2 linked regions of the Drosophila melanogaster genome follow. The protein of the gene in region 2 binds, or shares a complex with, the protein of the main gene of each other region. Each region holds a gene or a part of one and is shown on either strand. Other genes may lie near its edges. The genes, in order: PolD3 and PolD2.

The links.
Region 1: PolD2 (region 2) and PolD3 share a complex: the UniProt entries of both Drosophila melanogaster proteins name them as parts of the DNA polymerase zeta complex.

The regions. Positions count from the first base shown.
Region 1 is NT_033779.5:15,254,131-15,258,414, forward strand, and holds PolD3 (DNA polymerase delta subunit 3), read right to left. Parts: upstream 2,175-4,284; 5' UTR 2,134-2,174; coding exon 838-2,133; 3' UTR 689-837; downstream 1-688. Other genes in the region: Uxt prefoldin-like subunit, read left to right, coding at 2,521-2,567, 2,619-3,060; yuri gagarin, read right to left, coding at 3,283-3,456, 3,669-3,975, 4,043-4,284. UniProt on the Drosophila melanogaster protein: Accessory component of the DNA polymerase delta complex and possibly the DNA polymerase zeta complex. As a component of the delta complex, participates in high fidelity genome replication, including lagging strand synthesis, DNA recombination and repair.
Region 2 is NT_037436.4:1,773,889-1,777,752, reverse strand, and holds PolD2 (DNA polymerase delta subunit 2), read right to left. Parts: upstream 2,121-3,864; 5' UTR 2,073-2,120; coding exon 777-2,072; 3' UTR 734-776; downstream 1-733. Other genes in the region: mRpL46 (mitochondrial ribosomal protein L46), read right to left, coding at 1-237; CG2021 (uncharacterized protein), read left to right, coding at 423-710; CG13933 (uncharacterized protein), read left to right, coding at 2,962-3,772, 3,843-3,864. UniProt on the Drosophila melanogaster protein: Accessory component of both the DNA polymerase delta complex and possibly the DNA polymerase zeta complex. As a component of the delta complex, participates in high fidelity genome replication, including lagging strand synthesis, DNA recombination and repair.

The sequences.
Region 1 (4,284 bases), on a different chromosome or scaffold from region 2:
CGATAGATGATAGGCCGAGGCAAATCTAAGTGTAAGCATTAATTTAGCTTCTGAGAAGCTTCTACCTAAGCGTAGCCACTGATCTCGATTGTTTGCCACGAACACGACAAATTGTTTTATCCACCACAGAGAAAAAATCCCTTACTCAATCACTTACATACATATTATGTATTTGCTTGCCATCGGGCAGCCTGACTGTAAGCTTTTAATGCTTAAAAATCAGATAGGAATCAAACGCAATCACTGCAGAAACAGAAAAGCAAAAACCAAAAACCAAAAACCAAAAATTAAAAATGAAAAACGAAAAACCAACAAGACAACAAATGAACAATTTAAATTAACGAATATTCGAATTATATGAACAAACAAGTGTTTTTTCAAACCTCGCCTTAATTTTTTAAAGTGTTTTGAAATACGATAACGATAGCGGAGATAACGAGTTTCGATCTCGAATCGAAATCGAAAACAACAAATACAAAACCAAAAACAAAAACACGCACTGATAAAGCATAGGCCAGGCAAAATTCACACCGACACGCCCACACACACACACACACACACACAATCAGACACGCGAATCTATATAAATAAAGAAATACAAATTACAAACAAGATACTCAAACAACTTCTAGCAGCTATAAACAAATGCAATAAATTCTTTTTAACAACAAACGCAAACTGTTTTTTTCATATGGGCTGATGGCTATTTTTTTGTAAACCCATCATAAAATATATATTATTTTCAATAATCATAAATAAATTTATTAAAAACATTAACTGTTTCCATGCTTAACAATTAACCCTTACTTTAGCAACATCTCCATGCTTTGCTTTCATTTACTTCTTGGAAAAAAAGTTCATAATGCCAGCTTGTTTGGTTTTCGGCGCATCCTTTCCAGCTTTCGCGGCTGAAGGCGGTGACTTCTTTTTGTTGACGGGAGCAGCAGCCTTTGGGGAAACCTTTTTGTTGGCAGGCTGGGCTTTTGTTGGTTTACGCTGCGTAATGACGAAGCCATCTTCATCCAGATAGGTTTCATTGGCCGGTTCCGTATCCATTTTCTCATCCAATGCGATGGTCTCTTCATCGGCGGACTTCTTGGGCGGCTGCTCCTCGTCCTCAGAGTCGCTGATTCGTCGCCGCTTGGAGGACGAGGCCTTTTCCTGATCGGAGTCGTTGTCCGACTCGATCACCTTCCGCCGCAGCATGTCCAGCTTTTCCTCCTCGTCGGACGATTCGGCACTCTCCTCGTCGAACAGTTGCATGGAAGTGTTTGCCGTTGTTGGCTTTTTGGTGGGACTGGGGGATTTCTTTTTCGAGGCTTCCTTTTTGTTTGAATTGGAAGCATCTTTCTTCGATTTATCTTCGGATTCCGGTGGCGACTTCTTGGCGCCTGCCGGTTGCTTCTTAAAGAAGTTGTCCACGGTGCCGGACGTCGATTTGCTGGGCGTGGCTTTGACATCCTTTGGCTTGCTGGCCGCCGCTGTGAAGAAGCTATTAATGCTACCCTTTTTGGCTGCTGCAGGCTTGGCTTTAGAGGCCTGTTCCTTGGGCGAGGTCTTCTTATCCTCCGGAGAGGACTTGCTGGCCACTGGCTTTTCCGCCTTCGACTTTGCTGGCTCTGATTTAAGTGAAGATTTTGAAGGCTCCAACTTAACCGCAGACTTTGATGGCTCCGATTTAGTGGGTTCAGATTTGACTCCATTGTGGGGAGTCGTCCCATTTGCACTGGGCACTATCTTTCCCGCTCCAGGACGCTGCTCCACTTTTGCCAACTTCACCTCCAAATGCTGCATGGGCTTGAAAATCGCAGCCGGCGCTTTGGTGCCACCGGCTATTTTCACACTATACAGCTGAGACTCCGCATCCTGGACTTTGGCCAGCCAATCCTGCATCCTGCTCTCCAGCACCACAGAGTACAGATCTTCGCCGGAATCGGATCCTTGCGTTTTACGCTTGCCATGGACTAGAAATCTCTTCTCGAATTTTGTGGCAGGTTCCTGCTCTTTGATGTAGGCCTCCAGCACATCGTTCACCTCCTTGTAGGACAGTTTGTACTCCTCCAGAAGATCGGTGACCAGCACACAGCGATCGAAATCGATCATGCAATCGTCGAGAGCCTTTTTAAGCGACATTTCGACAATTTGTTTAGTTAAAATTGCGCGAAATCGTATTGCGGGCGTGCCAACTTATGTGACTAAAAAAAGTGCTAAAACTCACCAGCAAAATAATGAATACTGAATTCGAAAATTTGTGACTTTGCTATGCATATTGTCAATGTAGAAAAAGGCGTATTTATTAAAGTTAATTAATTAATTATTATATATATTTAGTTGCTTTTTTTTGCTTGAATTATGAGCTTATTAATAGACTTTACATTTAGCTTAAATATAGCTAAATTGAAACAACTGCTATCTATCGATAACATCTACTTGCCGCTATTGCAAAGATAAGAAGAAGAAACGAGAAGTAAACAAACCAGATATCCTAATAAATTTTGATTTCTTTTTAATGCCCAAACAATGCAAGTAAATCCAAAACACAACACAGAAGCTCACAGACAAGCCGAGTAAGTGATAAAAATACAAGTGAATGCAGCAAGTGTAAGACCCAATTACAGGCAGGATGCCAACAAGGCGCGAATCACCCAAATTGAGGAGTTCATCAACGAGGTGCTGAAAGAGGATCTCAGAGAGCTGGAAAAGTGCATCGGGCAGTACAACGAGGAGATCATGGAGTACGTCCAGCTGAAGAACACCCTCCAGACCTTCGACACCCACCTACCAGATGGCTACAAAACGCAAGTCAACATCGGCAGCAACGTATTCATGCAGGCTCGCGTTCGGAAAATGGATAGCATTCTGGTCGATGTGGGCAAGAATGTGTTCCTCGATATGAGCATTCCAGATGCGGAACGCTTCTGCGACACACGCGTAAAGATCTTGACCAAGCAATCCGATGTCCTGCGCGACGAAAGCGTCAAGAAAAGGGCTCAAATCAAAATGGCCCTCATAGCAATCAGCGAAAGAACCAAACTTATTCAACAGGATGAAAGCAAATAGCTTCGCTGCGTCCACAGAAGCTGAAAGCATCTGTATCCTTGTTCGTATCAGTAGTGATCACATTATTACCAAGATTACACAAGCACTTAGTTTTTATTTTATACCACAATTTACAAAGACAATTTACAAGTTACGCGCCTCCAAAGTGTTGATGGCATAGAGATTTTGGGTGAGAACGATTTTTAAATGGAAGGAGGAGTTGCATGCAAATCCTGGCGACTCCTACGACTGATCCTGTGACGATCGAGTACGCCGCAATATGGATTGGGCCACCGGTTGCCCAATTCCAGCCGGACTTCCTGAGATCAAGGAGTTGCAGTACTGATCGTTCATAGTCTGATTCTGGTTAAAAATCCGCTGCGAGGTGCTGGTCAAGTTCTGCAATCGCCTGGCCATCTGCGGAAGTCACCAATAGACACCAGTTAGACAATAAAGTTAGAAAGTATTATTTTAATTCCAGCTGCCCGTTTAAGAAGTCCAATGGTTATCCAATTCGTCAAAATTTGGAACAGGCTTGTTGAAAATTAAGGAAAAATTCAAGTTTTACATGGTTTGGTGGCATTTTGGCATATAAAGATTTGTGAAAAATTTGTATATTTCCAACTCACATCGTTCCCCGCCTCGGGATTGGTCAGACCGCCACTCTTCGGAGGTGGACAACTTATCGCCGAACTGGACGCGCAGTTGACCGCCTGCTTCACTCGTTTTATCTCCGTCTCCAAGAGCTTGTAGTCTCGGAATAGATTGCGATAGTCCTCGGCCAACGTCCGGTTTTCGTCCAGCAGCATGTGGATGTGTTCCTCGGCCCGCTTGGCGCAAAGACGCATCGCCTCATCGGCCCTAACCTGGGCGTCCTTCCATTTTCGAAAGGAGTCGATAATCTGTTCCTGCTGCTGGTTAACTTCGGTCTGTTGACTGGCGGGAAGAGAGAACATGGCAGCTGCTCTTATATGGATGCACTCTATCCTGGAAAATTACCTACTTTAGGCGGATCTGCATTTGCTGGCAATTTTCCGAAATGGTGCGCAACTCCTCCCGCAGAGATTCAGTTGTCTCGTTCATCCGCTGGATACTTTCGCGATGCCGGATGTCATCCAGCTGCAGATGGCTCTGCATTTTCCGAACAAGAGTGCGCATCTTTTCCATCTCCAACTGGGCACTCTTTTGTTGATCTTGAAGTGCCCGCTCTCGGCCCGAGGACACAGCCTCCTTCTCCTTCAAAGC
Region 2 (3,864 bases):
CGCCTGGACGATCTCACGTTCATGCTTGAGTTCATGGTCAGACTTCAGGCTGTTTTCGTACTCCACGCGCCATAGCAAGTCTTGGAACTGTTTTTCCAGCGGATTAAGGGACTTGGACACCACAGGGAGACGCTCTACGAGCACTCCGGCGTACAGGTCCCACTTTTCCGCGCTGGCGGTTGACGATTGGGCTCGGCTCAACTCCCGGGCACCCACTTGGACAATGCGACGCAGCATTTTAATCAGTTTAATTTAATTTTTTCGGAAAATAGAATGTTGACCACCGATTACATGAGCACCAGAGCCGGAACAGCTGATTTGCGGCACAGTTATCGTTATCGGAGAGCGCGTCGCTAGCCTCTTGCCACAATTAGTATTTATTTTGTTCTGTTTGGAGAAGTTATCAAGGAAAGACTGCTAAAATGTCCGGTCTGGAGTCGTATATCAATCACACAGTCTCCATCATTACGGCAGACGGACGGAACTTCATCGGGACACTCAAGGGATTCGACCAGACCATCAATATCATCATAGACGAGTGCCATGAGCGCGTCTTCTCTACCACCTCCGGCATCGAGCAAATCGTGCTGGGACTGCACATCATCCGGGGGGACAACATCGCGGTGATCGGACTGATAGACGAGACCATCGACTCCCGCCTGGATTTGGCCAACATTAGGGGCGAGCCGCTGGGTCCCGTGGTGCACTAGGATAGCGAATAAAACCAGTGATTCTCAAGACTTAACAGGGTGTATTATTTGTATTAATGAAGTTTCTTATTCTGCATCTACGCTAAAGTTGACCATGCGGCAATCCAGCGTATCCAGGTCAACGACGGCCACACTCTGTGTTTTGCTAAAACTGGGCACGCAGACTAGGCGGGTGCGCTTGCCTTCGGAACCCTCGTGCAGCTCGGTCGCAAACGACTCGCAGTTGCCGGCGTAGTAAACGTGCGGACACTCGCGCAGGATGAAGGGATCACTTTCGATGTACGGGTAGCACGCTAGAGTGTCCGGTGCAGTGGGAGCAACATGTCCCCAGGTGAGGGTGCAGCGAAGGGCCTCCAGCGCCGAGTCCAGCGAAGTGCTGCGCAACAGATCCGATACATTCTGGCCAGATGTGCCTACCACCAGGGCCTCATCCAGCCGGCAGCTGTACGGATTAGTCACCGCCTGGAAAGTTGCCAGTTGAGCAGCCTGGGGAAACATGCACTTGTGGAACGGCTGCTGGGGCAGCATAAAGTTGGCCGGGTCGTAGGGTCCCGGCATTATGTCGACGGGCAGACTGCGTGCCCATGAGGCAAACCACTGGTCTAGCTGGGAAACGGCCTGGACTGTGTCATTTGCGTTCGCCTGGGTGCGTGCCACCTGTAGGGTGGGCACATGTGCCATGGCACTGGCTCTCACCGAGTTTCCAGCCACGATAAGACGCACCATGGAGCCCGCTTCCTTGTTGTTTCCAAGACTGCCGGCCAGCCAGTACTGAAAGAGATTCAATGCCTCCACAAATTTGTGGGCCTGCAGTTGGTCCAACCCAGACGCCAGCACCAGGAGGCGGCTTCTTTTAATGGGGGCCAGTGGCTTCTGAGGTCCACTTTCGTAGAAGAGTATATCCTCCACGTTAAAAAATCCGTCACTGTCTGTTCCACCGAGGGCAGCGCACACAACTCCAGTGGCTAAGAGCTGTCCATTTAGCTTGCCCTGAAGTCGAACCCGCTGCAGTTCATCCTCCAGAACAATCTTGTCCTCCGGATCCGAGTAGTTCTGTCTTGGCGGCTGTGGCGCTAACTGATTCTCCTCAGAAATGTCCCGGAGGATACTGGGCTTGTGAGCCTGGTGCTTAAAAATGGTGCCGATCAGGATGCAGTGCACGTCCTGTTCACCCCGCAGCTCACACAGTTTTTTGATGGGCTCCTTGTTGCCCCACTTCTTCTGGGCCAGCGGCGTTAGGAGACGCGTCATCTCGGCCAGGCGGTGGGCATACAGATGGAAGAACTGCTTTTGGTAGTCATGTCCCTTTAGCCGGAAAATGCTGCTCAGGTTCTCGTATTTGGTCTCCAGGCGGTTGGTCATGATTCCGTCGATATTTTTAGGAGCAAACTAAGTTATATTCCAAGACGCTCGTTTACTTTTGAGCGCCAATTTGTTACAGAGAGGAGAGGCTAAGGCAAACAGTTTTTCTTCAATCACGTTGGTAATGTTAGGGAAAATTTCTTAGGAAAACCAAAGTTTTTTTGGCTTGGTAACATAAGAAGTATTCGCTTTTGAATAAGAAGTATTTTTTTTTGTTAATATTTTATTATTAATAATTTTTTATATTTAATATTGACATTTATAGTAACTAAGTTCCAGTATTCACTGTACATTCAATTCGAATCGATAGCCGATAAGCCTTAACATTGGGTACAGCTGGATTGCACAAATCGAAAAGTATGTGCAAAGCCTATAACTTATTTTATGGAAAAAAATCGCGTTCATTGCTTTTTTGCTCCTGAATAAGGTGGTGCAAATGTATGCCCATTTACGCATTTTACTTTAAGTTTAAATAAACGCGCTTTTATACAAAATTGATATCCTCCTATCGACTAACGATACCAAGTTCAACCAACTGATATCGATTGCCGATAGGGCCTCTGAAACCCTATACTATAATATACTTTATTTAATCCCAAAGTTTTTTTTTGATTGTGGTAAATTTGAAATGCCCGGATGCGCTGAATCTAGCCTGAAAACGCGCCACAGGGATGTGGGATTCTGTGACTGAAGCCATCGGAGCAGCCTTTCTCCTTCCAGCCGTCGTTCAGTGCTGATCTGGGCGGTTCTTCAGGGCTCGTATTGATTTTTACGGTTTCGGAAGTGATACGCACTTCGCCGTCTAGCGATCTTCCCCGGAAACTGCGTCGCAGGAGATACTAGCATGACTGTGCAGTGTTAGACGGCCGTAAAGGGAGAAGCCAGAGCAATGGGCGGCTCCGTGAGCCAGGTGTTCCGATCCGGATCCGCACTCCTCTCGCATCGCGACGGAAAGCTGTCCAAGGCCACCGAGGAGACCATACAGACACTGTTTGACATCCTGCGCGCCAATCCGAAGGTTTCCCTGCAGACCCTCGAGAGCCTGCTCATCCAGATCCCAAAGAACGAGAATATCCTGGCCATGCATGACGACTATGGATACAACATCCTGCAGCGCAGCGTCGGCCTCAACCACATCGATCTCACTAAGTGGCTGCTGCATCGCCACCGCCCGGACGTTAACCGCTCGCCCTGCTCCCTGCCCCTGCACATCGCCACCCTGCGTGGCTACGAGGAGTGCGTGGAGTTATTGCTTCGGCATGGCGCACGTATCGACGTGGACACTCGGATGTGTTTTCCTGGCGCCCACACGAGAAATTGCGAGGAGAGCGGCAAATGGCACAACAACGTGGACGATGTCAGCGAGCGGCTAAACACAAAGCTACAGAACGCGCTCTTCTATGCAATCGACGGAGATCAGTACAATGTTCTAAGCTTGCTCACCCAAAAAATGGAGGAGCCGTGGATCCCCTTCCGCGTGAAAAAGCCCCTGCTCCACTTGGCCTGCGAACGCGGCGCCTGGAATTGCGTCCAGCAACTAGTGGTCACCCGTTCGGAGGAAATCAATCTTATTATGGACGAGTATTACCCGATTCACCATGCCGTGCTTCATGATGGTCGCTTTCTTGAGCTACTCATTCATCAGGGTGCAATTACAACTGTACGCACCTGCACCCAACAAATGACCCTACTGCATGTGGGTGAGTTCGTATTCCCTGAAGAGAGAGATTCTGATGCAGATGTTGTAATAACCATGGCTATTATTTTCAGTTATTTTTGCTGCTCGTAAGTC